Ovis aries: one gene and its partners. The protein of the gene in region 1 purifies or fractionates together with the protein of each later gene. This does not show direct contact. Links are inferred from orthologs where the notes say so. Each region holds a gene or a part of one and is shown on either strand. Other genes may lie near its edges. The genes, in order: GET3, BAG6 and UBL4A.

The links.
Region 2: the proteins of GET3 (region 1) and BAG6 purify together in Homo sapiens (co-immunoprecipitation; 5 studies listed by BioGRID and IntAct, with this or other methods). This does not show direct contact. The link is inferred for Ovis aries from reciprocal best matches to the Homo sapiens genes GET3 and BAG6.
Region 3: the proteins of GET3 (region 1) and UBL4A purify together in Homo sapiens (affinity purification with mass spectrometry; 4 studies listed by BioGRID and IntAct, with this or other methods). This does not show direct contact. The link is inferred for Ovis aries from reciprocal best matches to the Homo sapiens genes GET3 and UBL4A.

The regions. Positions count from the first base shown.
Region 1 is NC_056058.1:11,077,084-11,081,775, reverse strand, and holds the start of GET3 (ATPase GET3), read left to right. Parts: upstream 1-1,440; 5' UTR 1,441-1,454; coding exon 1,455-1,615; intron 1,616-2,464; coding exon 2,465-2,612; intron 2,613-4,692.
Region 2 is NC_056073.1:26,725,748-26,730,599, reverse strand, and holds the start of BAG6 (large proline-rich protein BAG6), read right to left. Parts: upstream 3,138-4,852; 5' UTR 2,884-3,137; intron 2,879-2,883; exon of another isoform or gene 2,716-2,878; intron 2,655-2,715; exon of another isoform or gene 2,367-2,654; intron 2,239-2,366; 5' UTR 2,226-2,238; coding exon 2,118-2,225; intron 1,103-2,117; coding exon 985-1,102; intron 872-984; coding exon 675-871; intron 438-674; coding exon 384-437; intron 222-383; coding exon 147-221; intron 1-146. Other genes in the region: APOM (apolipoprotein M), read left to right, coding at 3,584-3,947. UniProt on the Homo sapiens protein: ATP-independent molecular chaperone preventing the aggregation of misfolded and hydrophobic patches-containing proteins.
Region 3 is NC_056080.1:79,953,664-79,958,185, forward strand, and holds UBL4A (ubiquitin-like protein 4A), read left to right. Parts: upstream 1-1,437; 5' UTR 1,438-1,480; coding exon 1,481-1,528; intron 1,529-1,681; coding exon 1,682-1,787; intron 1,788-2,088; coding exon 2,089-2,303; intron 2,304-2,411; coding exon 2,412-2,518; coding exon of another isoform or gene 2,519-2,522; exon of another isoform or gene 2,523-2,952; coding exon 2,953-3,076; 3' UTR 3,077-3,079; exon of another isoform or gene 3,080-3,968; coding exon of another isoform or gene 3,969-4,080; 3' UTR 4,081-4,134; downstream 4,135-4,522. Other genes in the region: SLC10A3 (P3 protein), read left to right, coding at 1-566. UniProt on the Homo sapiens protein: As part of a cytosolic protein quality control complex, the BAG6/BAT3 complex, maintains misfolded and hydrophobic patches-containing proteins in a soluble state and participates in their proper delivery to the endoplasmic reticulum or alternatively can promote their sorting to the proteasome where they undergo degradation.

The DNA of each region.
Region 1 (4,692 bases):
GCTAGGCTCCTGCTGGCGTTACGCAAAGATGGTCTCTTCCGGAATGAGACTATTGTTTGGTTCTGAGTGTGTAGCTGGCTCTCGGAGTGCGGTTCCCGCGTGGGACTCGGTGGTGTACTAGCTTTTCGGGGCTAGAATCTCCTTCTGACACCAGGGATAATCTCAGTGAGGGGAGAGACGTTGCTTGGCTGTGTGCTCAGCTGATAACCTCGGAACCTGGGTCCCTAACTAAAACTAGCCAGAGGGCATATCTAGCCTGGTCCCCGAGAACAGAAATGGGGGTGTCTCTGGATTAGGTACCTATCTCTGGGATGGAGCTTTCATTTGGAAATAGAGACACAGCTCACTCCAAGGAGCTGAGAGGTTCATATCTGCAAATCAAGGTATTACTTTATGTGCTGCTGCTGCTAAGTCGCTTCAGTTGTGTCCGACTCTGTGCGACCGCATAGACGGAAGCCCACCAGTCTCCCCCATCCCTGAGATTCTCCACGCAAGAACACTGGAGTGGGTTGCCATTTCCTTCTCCAATGCATGAAAGTGAAAAGTGATTGTGAAGTTCTTTATGTGCTAGAGTACCGAAATGAAGCCACGGATAGTTCTAGGTTGGAGCCTCCAACTAAGGTATAGTGTCCTCAAAAGGGCCTGCGACCAAGCATGTATTCCTGCCCAGGGCAGAGTTTCAAACAGAATTGGCTGAACTGAAGTTTCCCTTCGAACCTGGGGTAAAGTGGAAGCAGGTTTTGGGGAATCGGGTGCCTTCTACAACAAGGATGCAAGCCCGCAAAGGAGCTCAGGGCTCACTGGACAAGGATCTGCGGACCTCGCCCCCAACTGGAGTAATTCTCTCTCTAACCCACTCGCAGCGCCGAAACTGTCTCCAGCAAACTAATCGGTTCGTCTGTGATTGGTTTGCGTCAGGAGCCCGATGGCTCCCAGCCAATTGAATAACAGAAGAGACGGACCTGAGGGGTGCTGGGACCTAGTTCGGAGAATAGGGGCGGGAAATGATCGACAAGAAGTTGAGCCTATGGAGTCAGGTCAGGGTGGACCTCGGAACTAACTTCTTGAAAAGGGTATGGAATGGGTGTTTGGTCGGTTGCTAAGGGAAGGTTGGTGCTACCGGGACGTGAGAGTGATTGGTGAAAGTAAGAAAAGATGTAGCCAATGAGAGGAGTGCTGCTAGACTTAAAGGCCAATCAGTAAAGGGGAGTATCCTGGGATGTACCAATGCATTAATTAGACAGGGGGACGCTTTGAAGAAAATGTAGACAAGAGGCTGACATGATGAAGCTTGGAAGGGAAGACATTGGACATATAGCTTCTATTAGCTCCTAGAAGTTAAGCTATGAGAAAATCAGTTCAACCTTCTAGCCTTGATGGGGATATGATAGGAAATTTCCCCTGCAGGTGCTTTGCATGGTGCGCTCCTCTTGATCACGTGAGCCGGTTCCAAGATGGCGGCAGGGGTGGCCGGGTGGGGGGTTGAGGCAGAGGAGTTCGAGGATGCCCCTGATGTGGAGCCGCTGGAGCCCACGCTTAGCAACATCATCGAGCAGCGCAGCCTTAAGTGGATCTTCGTTGGGGGCAAAGGTGGAGTTGGCAAGACGACCTGCAGGTAAAGAGGCTGCGGTGGGGGCCGGGAAAACGGGTGGGATGTACCACAGGGTGAAGGGGAGGCGAAAGACCGGGTCTTCCAGCACCAGCCGGGCGAGAGGGCTGGGGCGGGGTCTTCTGGATTGTACTCTCCAGAAGTTATCTGGAGCAAGTGGAAGATACCTCCTGAAAGCCGGCCGGGCACCCTCTGAACTGGACCATCCCTGTTGGGGCTCAAGGGCTGAACCACGTTGAATCCAGCGCACGGGGTCCGGGAGAGCACTTAGATGTCCCCATCAGGTAGACTGTACCAGAGTGTGCCCAGAGAAGGGGAGGGGCACCTGAGCGAACTATCCTAATCTGGTGGACCTTGTCGTTCTCTGCCCACGTGGGGGTGGAAGGCGGGAGGGAGAGCACATGATCAGGCTATCCCAGTCAGCTGGGAGGAGGAGGAGGGATCCCCCGGGCAGATCACCCTGGACAAATGGACCGAACCACCGAGTTTAGCAAGAGGTGCAAAGGACCCCTTAGCTTAGCGTTGAGGGAGCGGACACAGGGTCAGGCTGTGCTGACTGGACAGCCGGATCGTGATGCCACTCTGTGCCAGCGAAGAAGCAGGCATCACACCAGACTGACAAACTTAGCCGAATCTTACCACTTTAGCCAGGTGGAAGGTTCAGTAGGTGAGATCTGAGAGGGTCCCACTGCAGAGATTGAGGCCTGATCCCACAGTCCTCCATACTCTTCTCTCAAGGCCCTTACTGATCCAGGTCCCCTGCTCCTGCGACCCTTCATCTCCCCCTTGCAGACCTAGGGAGCAGAGCCTGACTCTTCACCCCCCCCCCAACCTTTTGACCTTTCTTTTGCCCAGCTGCAGCCTAGCAGTCCAGCTGTCCAAGGGGCGGGAGAGTGTTCTAATCATCTCCACCGACCCAGCCCACAACATCTCCGATGCATTTGACCAGAAGTTCTCCAAGGTGCCTACCAAGGTCAAAGGCTATGACAACCTCTTTGCCATGGTGAGTGCAATAGGGCTCAGGCCTACCCCACGCCCCACCCCCCAACTCTGTCAAAGGCACCTTCAGGCCTTTCCTGTGAACACCCACCATTAGCTACCAGGTCCTGCAGGTTCTCCAGCCTCTTGTCTTTCCACTTTCTCCTCTTCAGCATACCCATAGGGGACTGGGTGAGAGACGTTTGTGGATCAGAAAGGAAACCAGAGTAGCTGGAGTGAGCAAGGGGAGGGGAGGGAGACATCAATAATAGGACCTAGCAGGCCACTGGGAGTAAAGCTTTGTTTCCAAATTTATATATATTTTTGTATTTATTTTTATTATGTATTTGGTTGCTCTGCACCTTAGTGCTGGGTCTTAGTTGCAGTACACAGAATCTTTAGTTGCAGCATGTGGGATCTAGTTTCCCAACCAGGTGTTGAATACAGGTCCCCTGCATTGGGAGGGTGGAGTCTTAGGCACTGGACCACTAGGAAAGTCCCTGATTCCAAGTTTAATGGGAACCTGTTTGTTTTAAGCAGAATAGTGTCATGGGACACATCATTTTTCAAAAAGTTCCCTGTAGCTTTCATGGAGAGATTGGACTATAAAGTCAAGAATGGAAGCAAAGAGAGCTGGGACAGTGCCCAGGCTAGAAATGGTGGCAGCCAAAACTTGGTGGGGAGGGAGGTGAAAGTGGTAAAATTTGGGATTTATTTTCATTAGTTTGGCTTCGATGGGTCTTCATTGTCGTACACAGGGGCTTCTGTCGCAGTATGTGGGGTTAGTTGCCCCATGGCACTGGGATCTTAGTTCCCTGACCGGGGATTGCGTCTGCATCCCCTGCATTGGAAGGCAGATTCTTAACCACTGGACCACCAGGGAAATCCCTGGGATGTATTTTGGAATTAAAGCAATTTGACTGCTTGGTTATAATGCATGAGGAAAAGAAATGAATTCAGTACATCTCTTAGTTGACTCCCTGGGCAACTGAGATGGAGAAGACTGGGAGAGGAGCAGGTGTAGAAGGCAAAAATGGGGAATTTTATTTGGCTTAGTGAGACCAAGGTGCCCATTGGTCATCCAAATGGAGACATCAGAGCAGTGGCTTAGTTATATGAGCCTAGAGGAAGAGGTTGGCATTGAGAGTCATTGTCCCAAGAGTGATATTTATTTAAAGCTGTGTGAATGGAGGAAAGAGTGAGAGAATAGAGAGGCTCAGAAACAACTCTAGGGGCATATCAACATTTAGGGTCCAGCAGGGGAAGAGGAAGAATCAGTGAAAGAGGCCAAGGAGGAGCCCCAGGTGAGGTGGGAGGGAAGCAGGATAGTATGGGCTCCTAAACTCGAGGAGGACAAAGGGACTTGGGCAGAAAGATTGTTGGCTCTGGCAGGCACATCCGTTTTAAGCAGATCACCCTGGGAATGGGCGCAAAAGCCTGCCTGGAGTGGGTGAACCACAGTGGAGACAGGGATCACCATGATGGGAGCAGAGAAATGAGCGTGGCCATCTCTGGAGGGGAATGGGAATGAGAGTTAAGGAAGGCTTTTCTGAGAAAGGAGATTTTAAGAGCACCTGTGTTTGCTGATGCGAATGCTTCAGAGAATTCTCTGGCAGTCCAGTGGTTAGAACTCTGGGGTCTCTCTTTACTGAGGATCAGGTTCAACCCCTGATTTGGGAACTAAGGTCCCAGAAGCTGATCAGTGTGGCCAAAAAAAAAAAAAAAAAAAAAGCTTCAACTGGAAGGGACAAGTGATGCTACAGGAGGGAATAAGGATGCCAGCCGAGGAAGGGACTCAGGTGGGCAACTGCTTGCTCCAGTGCACAGACCCAGGACTTGGGCTGTGGTGCCAGGACCAGGGACTTGGAAGGAAGGACTGGGGCATTTTCTAGGGTGAAATGAGGGTGTTGGTGGCCAGTGGCTTCACTTTCTCACTGAGGCACAAGCCCCAGCAGAGACTGTGGGCCACTTGGGAAAGAAGGTGTTTGAGGAGGAAGGAGATGTGGCATTAATACTCCCACTGGTGGACTGTCTGGCTTGTCAAATGCCCATTGGAGATTTGCAATCAGCAGTGGGGAGCAAGGTGAAGCTGTTTGTCAGGCGTG
Region 2 (4,852 bases), on another chromosome or scaffold:
TTTCTGCCCAAAAGAGCACACACTGCAGAAAAGAGATTAGATTAAGAGGGGAGAACCCAGTGGATGTGACCAGTCATCCCTAGGCTGAGACAAAAGGGGTAGGGAGGATAGAGTGAGACAGGCAGTGGCCAGCCTTGCCCACTCACCTCCATCCGGGAGAGTAAGGTCTGTATATCCCTGATCATATGCTGAGCCATCACCAGCCGTACTCGGGGCTCACTCTACAATGAGAGAGAAAATCAGGTCAGGCTGGAGACAAAGCCACAAGCTCCATTACCTACTAAACCAGGACCCAGCCCCATCTCTTCAGCCAGACCCATCCCCCACTTTGTGGCCTCCTTCTCCCAGATCCCCTTCCTTGACCCTCCCAGGCCCTGTGATACCTGAATTGGGGCCTGTTCCATGTTGATGTGAACATCCACAGCAGAGCCGTCACTCTGAGGAAAGGGTAAGGGAAGTTGCTCTGGGAGAAGCCAAATACTAAGGCCCCCACGCTTCCAACTGATTCTCTGGTGCCCGACCCCTCTAGATTATCAAAGACAGAGGCTGTTACCAGACCAGAGAGCCCACCAAAGCCCTTCTAAAGACTGACACACCTCTCTTATGAACTCTTGGCTGCTACCACAACCAAAACTGACCCCACAAAAACCCTCCCGTGAGGAACACAAGCTTACGGGAAGATTGAAGGTTCCAACCATGACATAGCTGTTGGCATTCCGGTCATGAACAGAGGCCCCAGGCCCCCGAGTACCAGGCGTGGGTCCCCCACCATGGGTGGCTGAGGTGGACCCTGTTCCAGAAGATGCTCCAGAAGGGAGCTGAGTCTGAGGAGGAGCCCGTTCCACAAGGTGAATAACCTTTCCCCCAACATCTGCAGAAAAAAGATACACACCAAAACATTACATGATCAGGGAAACCCTTGGCCTCAGCTCACTGCTCTGGACAGCAGCCTCAAGCTCTGCTCTGCCTCCCCCACCCCCTTACTGTATTCTTGGAGCTTCTTATCATCCTGCAGAACTCGTCCCTGGTAGATAAGCCGTTGTTTCTCAGATGGGATGCTAACAGAAGCAGCAATATGTTCCTTAAACTCCTTTACGTTCATCTGTAGGGAAGAAGAAACATGACGAGGAATCGGGGGTGGAAGAAAAAGGACAGAAGGGGGACAGCTGACTTGTAAGGGGTAAAAACCATCCCATCCTAAAATTACTACCCACCTGTCTTAATTGTGAGGTAATTATTGAGCAAAGCCCTGAACTAGGGCAACACTTGTCAAAATACATACAATAAACGTAACGAACTTCAGGTACAGGCCCAGGAGAAAACTACAGGGCTGAAGACCAGAAACACCAACTGACATTCTCTTCTCTCCCTCTCTGCCTGGCTCCAAAAGGAATGTGTGTGCCTAGAGATACCGGTGACCCCTCCACAAACACAAAATGATACAACACTGTAACCTTAAAGATAAAAGCAATGACAAAGAAGATGCGGTAGAGAATCAGGTTAAGGAAGGCAGACTCAAGCAAGAAGAAAAAGGGGCAAAGTCAGAAAAATATTTTTCCTAACTAGACAACTGACTTGTGAGAAGTATCCAGCTGTTTACAAACACCTAATCACAAAAGCCTACACAGTCTCATTAAATACACGAAACAATGTGTTTAAAACTATGGATCAACCTCCTTACGGTTTTGTCTATTAAGGATCTACCTGCATTATGAGCATTATGGGATCCGACTCCTATCCTTTAAAAACACAGCATAGACCTCATCAGTTTTTAAGACACTCTTCTACTTTAGGTCCTAGTGTTCTGTTTGCCTTCCCAAAGGCAGGAGCCACATCTGTCCCTTTGGGCTGGGGTTCATCTATCATGTTGGCATACAGATTCCTCCTTCTTTCTTTCCCTCTGCATTGAGTTTTATCGAGGTGGAGGAAGGCAAAGAAAATCTACCTCACCCAACAAAAGCCAAAGAGGAAACATCAGAAAATGTTCTGGATACAACATGAACAAAAGAACCAATGAGAGAAAATTTGAAAACCATAATATCAGGCTCTTCTTTCAGTACAAAGAACCTGTAAGAGGAAGAGTTAATGAGTGTCTCCCAGAAGTACTGGGGTCTCACCTGGGCCCCCACAATAAAGGTCCGGGTCTGAGAGTCCAGGGTCTTCACCAGCACCTCCAGGCTGTCAGGATCCTCCATAGTGGTACTGGTACTATCACTGGGCTCCATGGCCGACAGCTCTCTAAGGAAGAATGTTAGGAGGAGGCCCGCTGTCGCCTAGAGCAGATTTTTATATACCCGGAAGCCTCCCCTGCCCGAGACTCCGCCCCATGCCTAAAGAGTTTCTCCCACACAAGCACACACACTCACACCCGCCCCCATCCCCCTTCTGATTCCGGGGCACAGGGAGAGAAACACAAAGGGTAAGAGATCGACGGCACGGGGAGCTGGAGGGCGGCAGGTGGGAGGGGCTCAACGACGCCAATCACAGTAAGGGAGGGCCAGAAGAGCTAGGAAGACGGGAAGGAAGGAAACACGAGACCGGTGTCATCACCGGTCGCGGTAGGACAAGGGCTCGAGAAGTCGGCAAACCCAGGGGACAACCAGAGAGCGAGGGTCGCGCTAGACTCTGCGGAGAAAGTGGTTTCGCGCACGCGCGCCACGCCACGCCCATCGAACCCGCTTAAGTCACTAGAGACCCGAAATGACGAACACTCACGGGGGGCTAGATCGGCGAGCTGTCTCCCTCTTCCACGTACCCTCGGTGTTCTATCAGAAAGGCACAACCAACACACTCCAAACACATACACACACTCCAAACACACACACACACACACATACACACACACCCTACCACCCAGCTCCGCCCCCGACTTCCCCACGGTACCGTCACTTCCGGTCTCCCCCAACCTGCCACCGACGGCCACTTCCGTTTCCCCGATAGTATTTGGGGATCGCGAGGCGGTACTTCCGGCTCCCCCCAGGTCCCCAAGCTTTACTTTTGTGGGGCTTTTCCAGAAAGTCCGCGGCCCCAAATAGTGAGTTCCTGGGGGCGAGACGGGCCGGGGCCGGCCTAGATGGGAGGGAGCCGAGCACCCCGAAGAGCCGCCGCCACCGCCGTCGCCCGGGGGACCGTACTGCGCCTGCGTGCGTCCTACTACGCATGCGTGCACCCTTAGGCACCTCCCCACCACAGCTGGCGCTGTTCAGTTCTCCCCTGCGCGCGCTTAAGCAATAGGGGGGTTGTGGTGGCCGCTATAAATGCCTGATAAAAAACACGAGATGGGACTCTTCCACTGCCTCGAAAGAGGCTTTGAGCCGTTGTGTGGATCTTGGAGTCTGGAGGCTGGGGATTGTGCCTCGCAAATCTATGCTGAAGTCTTGGTCGGCAGAGAATTTGAGGCGGCACTGTCCAGGCCACCTAGAATCCTGTCTTCTCTTACCATCGTCCTCGTTGAGCCACTCCTTCGGCGTCTCCGGAAGTCACCCTTTCCATAGGCGGTTGGAGGTGGTTCTCGAGCTGATTTACGTGCGGTGGCGTCGTTGGGCCTGACCTCGGTTTTGCCCGGTGGGCGTTTTGTGGCGCCATGTTCTTCCCCGGCGGTTGCGGCCGAGGGCACACGCCATGTTTTGGAGAAACCAAGGATTTAGGACCTTTCAGGACTTTTATCTTAAAAAGGACGACTCCGAGTTTGGGAATTGGAAACATGGGGTCAGACTGGAGTGAAACACAAGACTCTGACCCTGGGGGATTGAGAGGGCCGCCTAAGGGCTTCTACAGGTGGAAGGTCCGGTATAGTTACCGTCCCTCTGCCCTCTTCTCCCCCCGCCCCTCGGGCAAGGGCCTGGGCCCCTCAGTGCTGCCACTCCTCCAGCCAGAGCCGTTGCTGCCGGTGTACCTGCCTCCGGTGCCTGTCCTTTCTGGGATTTGTAGCTTCTACTTAAGTCCCGGTACTGAAAGTTTTAATAAGCACATGTATAGTGAGCCCCTAGTTGGTGCCAGCCGGTTTGCTGAGGGTTTCACATACTGTCACATTTAATAGCCTTTCAACATCTATTACATCCCTTTATATAGGTGCATGTAAGTGGCAGAACTGACAAATCAGGCCTACCAGACTCCCTTGGGTCAAGCACTTCTATTTTACTGCCCCAATAGCTTGCATTTTAGTTTTTTGTTAAAAAATATAATGAACCCTCAGCTATTCATCACCCAAATTTTATTCCTTTAGCTAAATCGCAAGCGCAGAGCAAGCCTCACCTCTCAGAACAAATCTTTATGGCAGCCTGTGGGTTATAAATAATCCAGGAAGTACCATCTTCTTGGCAGTACCCAATGATTGCCTCTTGACAATTCTTTGCCTACTTCCTATTACTTGAGAACATAATACCCACGAGAGACTAATAAGTGCTTTACAAACATTGCTATTAATTATAGGGAATATTTACTTTGGATTTATGTGCAGGCCTTTGCTAAGGGCTTCATATGCCTTAGCTCTTCTAATCCTATGAGATTGATGATTTGCTCATTTTATACATGAGAAAACAGGCAAGATTAATAAAATTGTCCAAAGTAAGGGTTTGGACCCACCCTGCTTGACACCACTGTCTATACTCTAACCACTAGATTCTGTAGCTTCTTGCAGTAATAAACATTAAGTGAATGAACTCGTGTGTCAGCAGACTTTTCTGGACGGTGTGCATAGTTTCTCCAGTGAACAACTTGAGAGAGAAAGCCTCCCATCCACATACTTCAGCACCTGGTACATACCTGTTGTAAAGCACTTACCAGGTGGTATTGCAATGATTTGTTTACACAGCTAGTTCTCCTTAGACTGACTTCTTCAAGGCCAGGGACT
Region 3 (4,522 bases), on another chromosome or scaffold:
TCTCAACGGTGGCTGCCACCGGCTTCCTGCCGCTGTCCTCAGCCATCTACAGTCGCCTGCTCAGCATCCATGAAACACTCCATGTGCCTGTTTCCAAGATCCTGGGGACCCTGCTGTTCATTGCCATCCCCATTGCAGCAGGCGTGGTAATCAAGTCCAAGCTCCCCAAGTTCTCGCAGCTGCTGCTGCATGTCATCAAGCCCTTCAGCTTTGTGCTGCTCCTGGGTGGCCTCTTCCTGGCCTACCGCATGGGGGTCTTCATCCTGGCAGGCGTCAGGCTGCCCATCGTGTTGGTGGGCTTCACAGTGCCCCTGGTCGGCCTCCTGGTGGGCTACGGCCTGGCCACATGCCTGAATCTGCCAGTGGCCCAGCGGCGGACTGTCAGCATCGAGGTTGGGGTGCAGAACAGCCTTCTGGCCTTGGCCATGCTGCAGCTGTCCCTCCGCCGCCTCCAGGCTGACTATGCCTCCCAGGCCCCTTTCCTTGTGGCACTTAGTGGCACCTCGGAGATGCTGGCCTTAGTAATTGGCCACTTTATCTATAGCAGCGTGTGCACCGTTCCCTGAGGCCCCCGGGTCAAGCTTTCACCAGGCACCCCCAGCCCCCAACCTCCATCAACTGTCCCCACCATTCTTGTGTACCAAAGGCCTTTAGTTCTCATGCACTATGCACTCAGAAAAAAAAAAAAATCCAGGCTTATTTTTTTTACTCGTTTTTTATTCTCCAGCTTTCAGTGCCAAAGAGGCCATGCTGAGTTCTGTAAGCGGGCACTGCCCAGAAAATATATTTCAATAAAACAGAAGCAAGCTTGGGTATCATGCTGTCTTTGCCCTCTGAGGCCTGCGGGTCGGGGAAGGAAGGGCGTGGTGTGGCCAGGTAGGTGTGGGCCAGGATGGAGGGCTGGCTTGGCGACACAGTGACCTCTGGCCAGATTTAGCCTTCCTCGCCCCTGCATCACCTCTGAGAGCTGTGTATCTGTTCTAGAAGAAGCAGTGGGAAGGGCAGAGGCCTGACTCCCCCACCAGATCCCAAGCTCAGTTGCTTTTCCACAGGTGAAGTAAAAAAGAGGCCGGCGGGTGGTGAAACGAGCTCGGCGGGGCCGGGTCTTCTGCAGGCTCCTGAGAGGCAGGGGATGGGATGGGCATCAGCGTTGACCTGCTCTGCCCACGGGCGGTGGCGCGCGAACTCCCGGCCCGCCGTCTCCCCGGGCCCAGCTCCCCAACTCCTTCGAGCGAGCCCGACTGGTCCCGCCACCCTTTTCCACTCTCCGCGGGCTTCTGGGCTCCGTCGCCCCGGGCTCCGCGGAGGACAGTCCAGGTTGTGGGGGGAGGGGCCGGCGGGGCGGGGCCGCGATGCCCGGCTCGCCCCTCGCGATGCTTCCGGCGGCGGCGGGCGGTTCCGGCGCGCGCCCGGGGCGGCGGCGCGCGGCGGCGGACCGTTGGGGTGCGCGCCGGCCCGAGTGGACGCCTCGGCGGCCGCCATGCAGCTGACGGTGAAGGCACTCCAGGGCCGCGAGTGCAGCCTTCAGGTAGCATCGCCGGGCTGGGTTGCGCGGTCAGCCCCGCGGGTGCGGGATCGAGCCGCGGGAAGGGACGGACCCGGCGGGCTAGCCGCCTCGGGAGAGCCACCCTCCGCGCGGGCCGCGGCTTCACCCCCCGCCCACCTTTCTCGGCCGGGACAGGTGTCGGAGGACGAGCTGGTGTCCACGCTGAAACATCTGGTCTCCGAAAAGCTGAACATCCCCGTCCGCCAACAGCGGCTGCTGTTCAAGGGCAAGGCCCTGGCAGGTAACCAGGAAGAGGGGACGCTGGGGGAGACCCGCGGGAAGCCAGGGGACGGGGCGTCCAGCCCAGGCCCGGGCAGCAGTGTAGGTGGAGGGGGCTCTGGCTAGGTGACCCCCACCCCCATCCCGGGAGTTCACCGCTGCGCTTCGCCTAGGCTCTCCGAGGGTCAGTGCGACCCTCTCTCCCTCTCTCCCTCTCTCCCTCTCTCCCTCTCTCCCTCTCTCCCTCTCTCCCTCTCTCCCTCTCTCCCTCTCTCCCTCTCTCCCTCTCTCCCTCTCTCCCTCTCCCTCTCTCTTTCGGACAGATGGGAAAAGACTCTCCGATTACAGCATCGGGCCGAATTCCAAGCTCAACCTAGTGGTCAAACCTCTGGAGAAGGTGTTGCTGGAAGAAAGCACTGCGCGGAAAACGGCCGAGGCCCCAGCCCCACCGCCCGCCGCCTGGCCGCTCATTTCCAGAATCCTGGCCCAGCACTTCAGCGCCGCCGATGCCAGCAGAGTCCTGGATCAACTCCAGAGGGTGAGAAGCGTGGCCCAGGACCTCTGCATCCTGCCCACCTGCCTCTGTCCCAGCGGGCCCCCCCGCCCCAAGCCACACCCCTGAATCCTTCTGGCTTTCTCTCTTCAGGATTATGAGCGGTCCCTGAGCCGCCTGACGCTGGATGACATTGAACGTTTGGCTGGCCGCTTCCTGCACCCCGAAGCGACTGAAGCTATGGAGAAGGGGTTCTCCAAGTAGGATTCTCGGAGTGTGGGGAGGAGCCTGGCCAGGCCACAAGCTGCATGTAGCATTAAATGTCTTCTTGTATTGCAACTTGGCTCATAATACTGCCTGGCGGGTACTCGGGTACCTGTATCTGGCTCATGTTAGGTGCCAGGCCCCACTCAAAGCTCTTGACCCAGGTTGGCTCCCACATGTTGCACAAAAGGTGAGACAGCCGAGGCTCCTAGCGGAGAAGGCAAGGAGCCAGATTCTGAGTCCAGCCAGCTTCCAGAAGTACTTCAGGGTGAGAAGGAGAAAAGGGTCGTTCAGACGGGTTCTGAGGGGTGGCCATGGACATTCCAGGTTTAGCCCACTGAGGAGAAACCCTCGAGCAATACCTTTTCCAGGCCTGGAAGGGGAAGCAGCTAGCCCCTGATGCCCAGTTCTGTCACCTCATCCTTGACAGGTCCGGCATTGGCAAGAGGTCAGGTGATGGCCAGCCTTGGGCCCCCTTAGTGACTGCAACCAGTATGCACTCAAACGGAAGGCGGGCTGGGGAGTCTAGGATGTCACCCGACTCTGGGGAGTGACACGTAGGTGCCACGTTGGTCCCCAGCCTTCAACTCTGCTCAGTGAGGGCTGTTCTTGAGACTCTCTTAGTTTTCTTTAGCTCCAAAGCCTGGGGTCAGGAGTCTGTAGGCATCCTACTCCTGTGTCCCAGATACAAACTGAGGCCAAATTCTGAGTGATGGCCAAGCGTGGCCCAGAGACGGAATGTCCTGGCCCTTAGTGTCACAGATTTTCTCTGGGCACCCCCTTCTTTTCTCCTCCCAGACACAAGCGGTCCATGACCTTTAGAGATGACAGGTGATGGTCTCGAGGTGACTCGAGCAGGCCCCTGTACCCTTTGCCCATCCTCTGCCACATGTGGACAGGGCCTCCCACTGTGCACACCACTCACTGTCTGAGAGGGAACCTGGGTGGGGGCAGAAGCTGGGGGGTGGGTCGTAGAGATCGTCTAGGCACCTGCTCCTCAGAGGAGGGCACCTGGGCCACTCTCCGGCCTGAGCCTCATAGGGTAAGTGCTGGGTCCCCAGGTGGGGAGGACAGACAGTGGCTCGAGGGCCAAAGGCTTTGAAGAGCAGGTGGAAGTCCATGGCTCCACCCAGGAGCTGGGCATGCACTGCCACAAGGTTCATGTGATAGACTTCCCTACGCTCTCATTTCTTTGTAGTCAGGAAATTTTATATTGACCTTCTCAGTCACACTAGAGGTGCATGTGAGACTTTGACCTGAAAGGAACTCTATTAGTTGAACTGCTTTTGGTTTCCCCATCGTTGATTTAACCATTACAGGACATAGGTTTAAGCAATAAAGAGAAGGTATTGGTTTGCGAAACTGAGAAGTCCAGGGGTATTGGCAGCAGATAAATGATTTCCCCAAATACCCAGTTTCTTCCTACCTCCCCTCTGCACTCTGCAGTGTCTGCTTCATCCCAGGCCTCTACCTCAGGATCAGAAGATGGCTGCCTGCAGCTTCCACCGAACCCCTCGGTCACAGCCAGCACGGAGCACCTTCCCGTCCTCTAGCGTAGCTTCCTCCTCAGCTGCCCCAACAAATAAACGCTGTCCCTTTTGGATGCTTAGAACCGGGTGCCTCCATCATTTTATCAGGGGCTTGGGTGGGCTGTGGAAGGGAGAGGGCAACTCTCAGGAAGGCCGGGTCCTCGGGGAGAGCTGACGCGTGCAGACGGGTCTTGTTGACAGACACAAGAGACAGCTGGTGAGTCTTGTGTGCCTCCCGACTGGGAGGTGATGACCCTGTGGTAGCTAGGAGCCATCTGCTGGGTGCAGAAAGTCATCGGGGAGCTCAGGCTGCCCATGGAGACAGGAGTGGTGTCTCCCAGGTGTATAGTAGGTGCCTTGCTGACAGGCCCGACAGGCTGATTCCGCGGCCCTGTGCAGTTTTCCACGACATTCCGGAGGGCCTGTGGACACAATGTCCCAGACACTGCGAGGATGCATGAAATTACTTCC